2 linked regions of the Danio rerio genome follow. The protein of the gene in region 1 purifies or fractionates together with the protein of each later gene. This does not show direct contact. Links are inferred from orthologs where the notes say so. Each region holds a gene or a part of one and is shown in the gene's direction. Other genes may lie near its edges.

Region 1 (3,800 bases):
GCAATGGCAAGCTGGTGGAGCTGATTGAAAAAGTCAAGCCTGAAATCAGAACTCTTATGGAAAAATGCAACACAGTACGTTGATAGTCTTGTGCCATCTTTCACTCAAGCGTGTTAGGTAAATGATTAAATAATTTTCCCGTGCTCTTCTAGGTCAAGATGTGGGTTCAGTTGTTAATCCCTAGAATAGAAGATGGCAACAATTTTGGTGTCTCAATTCAGGTATGCTGCCACATTAAATATTTTCCACTGTCTGTGACCTTTGGACTTATCAGTGAAAGTCAAATGCAGAAGTTGCTAGCCACTGACCTGCAATTGTGATTGTCGTTACTGTCCACAGGAGGAGACGGTTGCTGAACTCAGAACAGTGGAAGGGGAAGCAGCATCTTTCTTAGACCAGATATCCAGGTGCTTCACTCTAAATCCATATTAATGGCAGACAACGGCTTGCTTTTGAATTTTATTCATATTAAAAAAAAAAATCCTTATATTTTTTTTCCAGGTACTATATCACAAGGGCAAAGCTGGTTTCCAAAATAGCAAAATACCCTCATGTTGTAAGTCATCATTACACTTACAGACTAGCATTTATGTCAGGTCTATAATATGTTTTATTATATTTAAGATAATCTCATGTTATTGGATGTTTAGGAGGATTATCGCCGCACAGTGACAGAGATTGATGAGAAGGAATACATCAGCCTCAAGATTATAGTGTCAGAACTGCGAAATCAATACGTAAGTACTGCTATACTAGTTGATGAATAATTATGCAAAATGTTCTAAACACTGTAGAAAGTGATCTAATCAATATGTCATGGAAACATAGTTTATGATGAACTCATGATTAAGTCTATTTCTCTAAATGTATAAATGTATATTTATTCAGTTTTTATCATCATTTTAGTAATATAATTAAATATGCAAGTGCTTAGAAAATGTGTGTACAATAGTTTAAGTAATATTTTCTGTCTTGGTAGATATTAGTGGTGTAACGCATCACAAGTCTCATGGTTCAGATCACATTAGGATTTTTTTTGTCACAGATCGGACCTTTTTTCAGGTCAGACAAAAAGGAGAGGAGACAAATGTCAGTTGCTTTCCATTTATTACAAAAACAGTAATGCAAGACACTTTTGGTTTTAACAAACAGAACCTAATAATCAGCTGAATTAAAATAATTGGTAAAATATTCAGTACTGTGAAAAACTGAAACGGTTTCTACAAATATTGCTGATAACACTAAATGTGTAAATATAACATTATATTTTTTACAACCCATATTTATTTTTAGTCTCATTTTCAATAAATGATTCAGTTATTCACTCATAAAACGTCATGTTTCATTGCTAGACGATCATTTTTGAAGAATTGTTCAGTTGCATATTTTTTAATGGCTGGTTGTCGCCACCTATTGGTTAAATTATGTAATTGCTGCCTACAACTTTCATTTGTTGAATGCGTTTGACAATGATTTTAATCTTTACCATAAACATCACTGGTTTCATTCAAACTATAAACCGTTCTCCCAGTACTTCTGTCTCATTTCACTGTTTGTAGCTTCATAATTGGAAGGATTAATAAATATTTGCAAATCACCATCATTTATATATTATGTTGCGTGATTGTTGAGATACCAATCCTTTACTGATTAATCATGCTTAAACTTAAACTGAATGCATTAATGCAGGCTAAACAAGTAGTAACAGAAAACACCTTCAATGAGACTCACCTCAGCCCGAACAACCTACCACAACTTCTTTCGCCATCATTATATTTTACAGAAAAGCCTAAATGCTTTCATATATGTGATTTGAATGACGTGAGAGGCGACCTTTCTGTGATCGTAACAAATTTAGGATTGGATCAGAGTGGGGCCAGGTAAGATCACTCACTCTGATCCCCCGAGCTCTGAGGGTTGTGGAAATTCCAAATTGATCCAAAACAAACAATTCTAATTGGCTTAAGTTTGGCAAGGAAAACTCGGCACATGCATCAACCAGCAGAACTTGGAAAGTTTAATAAAAATAAATGGATAAATATAAGATTAATCTACCAGTATAAAAAGGTACTAATCCACAGGCCATGTGTGTTCCAAACCATGGGTTGTGATCCGTATGAATCATGGATCAAACGTGATTCGTTACACTGGATATTTTGTGAGACTTTTTGGTGCTTTGTTTACCAAACAAGTAGTACTAATTGGATTTGCATTGTAAACCTTAAGTTAAAAAGTTATCTTATTTCATGTGTTAATGTTTTAGACACTATGTTCCTAAAAATCATTCTGCATAAATCTATTTTTAATCAATTTTTTTGTAGAAAAATATATGCAGGAATAGCAAAAAATGGTTATTTTGATTCCACTTGAGGCAGTGGTATAATCTTTTACAGTGTAGATTGTGATGACTTTAATGAGCTAAACTTGTCCTGCAGGTAACATTACATGACATGATCCTGAAGAACATCGAGAAGATCAAGAGGCCGAGGAGCAGCAATACTGACGCCCTGTACTAAGACCCCCGTCCCCTTTCCTTCCCGGCCCGATTCTCCACCATTTGGAGCTCGTGTTAGCTTTCAGGTGGTTCTAGAATAGTTCCGTCACCCATTATGACCAGGCCAAGAGACGCACCACTCGATCGGGCCTGATAGAACATGCCACTTAAGATAGAATTGTAAAATATTGTCACTATTTTAAACCCTTCAAAATAAGCCCTTTTTTGTTTTGTTTCTTAGCGGACAGTGTAAATGTATAAAGGCAGAGCCTGAACATGCGTCGCAAAGAAACTGTCTCCGATTTGTTTTTCTTTATTTAATTAAAGAAATACTTCAATCGTGAGTTTCTTTTTTTTTATCATTTGCAAAGCCAAAGTCCATGTAGTTCAGTTTTTGAATCCACTTCTAAGCCTCTCTAGGGGTCGCGTGATTGATGGATCTACCCTTGATGGTCGGTTTCTCCGGTCGAGAAGCTCTTATTGATGCTGTATTTCACTTAAGCGTTTTGCGTTGTTCATCTGAAATGTACGTGTAGGCTAAAGAGTGGAAGCGAGGCAGTTCATGTGCAAGATTTTATTTGGAGTGTGAGCTGACAATTATTACATGGAGTATTATATTTTCATCTGAAACGACTGATTCATCAAATCCTGGAAGCTTTTTATTGTTCTTTTTGTCCAGTTTTAAGAGTGATACATTTTGCTGAATAAACTATTGTTTTTACAATACATTCAAGGCATGTCATTAACTGCTGTTGTGCTTTTTTTGTGAATAATTGTTTAGTTTGTTGTGTGCTGCATGTATTCAAACAACCAAAAAAAAACAAGCGTAAGATGTAAAATTTCGTTAATTAGCTTTTTGCTAACAAAAAGAAACTTGTATGATGGGTATTTTTCTCTAGGAGTTATTCACTACCTGACAAAAGTCTTGTCGCCTAGCCAAGATTTAGGAACAATAAATATTAACTTGACTTCTACATGACTATTTGGTATCAGAAGTGCTTTATATAAAAGGCAAAGGCCTCTAGATTAAGCTTATTTTACCACAATGTCTTGATTTTTAATTATTTAATTAGGACAGTAAGGTCTGACTTTGCTTGGACAAAAGTCTTGTCACCTAACAGAAATAATGTACAGTATAGAATATAAAGTCATGGTGCAGTGGTAAAAGAAAGAATATTGTATATGACCGCCATGAGCTTGGAGGACTGCATCCACACATCTGCAATGACTCAAATAATTTTATAAGTCATCTGGAAAGGCAAAGAAATCGTTCCTGCAGGAGTTCATCAGAATTCTTTGGATTCAT
Region 2 (2,832 bases), on another chromosome or scaffold:
GAAAACCCCACTCAGTGTTTGTGCTGCAAAACTCCTATTACTGTAAAACATATTTTACTGGACTGTCCTGCTTTTACTGATTCCAGAAGGACTTTTTATGAAATTAACTCTTTTAAGGAAATTTTTGACAAAGTGGAACCAGAAAAGATTTTAGAATTTTTATCATGTATTAACACAAAAAATCTTATTTAATTTATGTTTTATTTTGTTTGTTGATTTTTAAATTGTATTATTTATTGTTGAAAGATTCCTGCCATGAAGATAGCCTTGGTTGCTGACATGGCAATAAATAAAAAATACATTACATTACATTCTTTTTGCACTATACTGTTCTTTATCTGCACAACTCTGGTTTACTTTGCACTCATTTGCTATATGCCCTTAATGTCACTGTATTGTTTACAATTTTTATTACCTATGTATATTTTTAGACCACATTTATGTGCAATGTATATACTGTAAATTTTCTTTTTCTTAAACTGTACTATTTTTTTATACATATTTTTTATATTAATGTTAAGCAACTTGGGTCTGAGAGTAACGCAATTTTGATTCTCTATATGTCTTGTACATGTGGCTGAATTGACAATAAAGCTGACTTTGACTTTGACTTAATTTCGGGTGTTTCATTCTTATTTTGTTGACTTTAACTGCAGTTTTACTTTCATTCAGGAACATTTCATGCATGCACGCGTGACAAACAAGATATTGGATGCGAGGAACTGCTGGAAGGGTGTAGTTTTAATTAAATACTATACCGCATGCCTTACGGGAGAAAAAAACTCTGCATTTCTCTGTAGATACAGACACTCACTCGGTAGGTGCAGAGAATAGCATCAAACAGCCGTGTGTGTATAGACTATCCTTTCACAAAATGTGACAAACCATATGCGGGGGAAATCCTACACGACAGTAATAGTTTGATTAAGGTGTTTACATTCTAAGAGCTAGTAGTTTTAGTTAATGGTTTGTTAATACAGTGAATTGTGGCCTAAACTAAAGGGTTACAGAATTTGAGCGATGTGCATCAACTCTACAATTTTGGTGAATCCTTCATGTTTTAAATTTTGTTTTATTCAGGCATAATGGTAAAGAAAAAGCGTTTGAGGCTTATAGCCGAGATGGCACGGAAGATCCGAGCTTACCGTGAGCTGAAGAACCGGCCCCGGGACTCTCAGCGCTATGCTTTAGACTACGACACCATGACGCGGCCCTTTTCTGGAAAAAAGCTGCCGGTGTTGGCCTGGAAGGATGTGCAGAGAGAAACCCGCCTCTTCTCTTTACTGTCCGGCATGCGCATGTTTGGTTTGGGTCGACTCTTCACGCGCAAATCCTGGCTGGACGAGCACACGGAGCCCTGCTATTGGAAAATAACCAAAGTCAAGGTGGACTACACAGCAGAGGTACAGTTGGGGTTTGACATTAAATCAAATAAACACATGCAAATTATTATACACATTATAAAAAACACTTTTTTGTTTTTTTTCCTTTAGAACATGGATCACGGGAAAGCATGGGGCGTCCTAACATTTAGAGGTAAGACGAGATGTTTTCTGTAAATAACTAATACACAATCAACTCCACATTTTCCAATAACACTAGCTGATTATATCATATATTTTGAGGAAATCTGAATAGAAACGAGACATTGTATGTCTATTTCAGGTAAAGAGGAGCCCAAGGAGCGTGAGGTGGACAAGGTGATGTACCATGACTGGCGACTGGTGCCCAAACATGAAGAGGAGGAGTTCAGGCGCTGTGAGCCTGTCCCGGAGCCTGCTGCCCGGTCAGTGCGGTACCCTCCCCTTCTGCGGGCCATGATACTGGCACAGCAGGCCAAAGAGCAGGGGGTGGAGGTCAGCACTCTTCCAGAGCCCCTGCTGCCCCTCAAACGAGTGGTCACGCTCAATCAGGAGTACTTCAGGAGACAGGATGAGCTGAAGAAGCAGGAGGGAACACCTGTCTGAGGGGTAAAGGTCACGCTTTGATGGGAACCACTTCTGCTCCTAGGCACTTTTTAAAGAGCACTGCTGGCTGTAAAGACTGACTTGTGTTTGATGCTGTTTTATTCTCACTAAAATATAGCTAGGTTCATCGTACATCTTCATGTGGATATGCAGCTCATGAAGAAGGAAAAGGAGGAGATTTGACACAGTTGGATCAAGGTGACCAAACTCAAAAGCATAAGACTCTTTTTGTTTTTTGTCACAAAATCATGTGTCTAATATTTGTTTAATAGCAAATTAAATGTGTAAAATGATATTGGTGTTTTATTGTAGTTTGTAAATATGCATCAAAACTAGGGTTGCACAATATACCATTACAGCACTGATATCGCAATATGCAATGTCCAGTCTGAATTATAGTTGACCAGGAGCTACAGAATTGTATTTAATCACTGTATTTATATGGAATTTATATGATTTATGCAAGAAAACATTTCTTACTTAGAATTGATGTCTTGTTTGTAGTCCAAACATCTACATTTCAAAGTGAAAACAAGATTATTTCACTTGCCCACTGGCAGATAATTTCCTCAAAACAAGCAAAGAAAAAAGCCTCTTCCTTTTCACTTATTTTGTTCTGATGGTGAAAACTAAACAATATTTTTACTTGCTCTAAGATTATTTTTATATTCGGACTAGAAACCAGACAAAAAGTAAGAAAAGCTTATTATTTATTATTATTTTTTTGCATTGTGATTATTCAATTACTCAACCTGACTCCCCAGAAAGCCGTCCAATTATAATATTCAAACTATCTTCTGAAAATATTCATGTAACAATTTATCGCAAAAAAAAAGATCGCAATATCAGATTTTTCCGATATTAT

The links.
Region 2: the proteins of psme3 (region 1) and mrps34 purify together in Homo sapiens (co-immunoprecipitation; 3 studies listed by BioGRID and IntAct, counting the BioPlex papers as one, with this or other methods). This does not show direct contact. The link is inferred for Danio rerio from reciprocal best matches to the Homo sapiens genes PSME3 and MRPS34.

What each region holds. Positions count from the first base shown.
Region 1 is NC_133187.1:29,020,297-29,024,096, reverse strand, and holds the end of psme3 (proteasome activator complex subunit 3), read left to right. Parts: coding exon 1-74; intron 75-152; coding exon 153-221; intron 222-339; coding exon 340-407; intron 408-501; coding exon 502-556; intron 557-650; coding exon 651-737; intron 738-1,090; exon of another isoform or gene 1,091-2,435; coding exon 2,436-2,516; 3' UTR 2,517-3,220; downstream 3,221-3,800. UniProt on the Homo sapiens protein: Subunit of the 11S REG-gamma (also called PA28-gamma) proteasome regulator, a doughnut-shaped homoheptamer which associates with the proteasome. 11S REG-gamma activates the trypsin-like catalytic subunit of the proteasome but inhibits the chymotrypsin-like and postglutamyl-preferring (PGPH) subunits.
Region 2 is NC_133178.1:14,674,675-14,677,506, reverse strand, and holds the end of mrps34 (small ribosomal subunit protein mS34), read left to right. Parts: intron 1-1,080; 5' UTR 1,081-1,085; coding exon 1,086-1,403; intron 1,404-1,493; coding exon 1,494-1,536; intron 1,537-1,665; coding exon 1,666-1,967; 3' UTR 1,968-2,238; downstream 2,239-2,832. UniProt on the Homo sapiens protein: Required for mitochondrial translation, plays a role in maintaining the stability of the small ribosomal subunit and the 12S rRNA that are required for mitoribosome formation.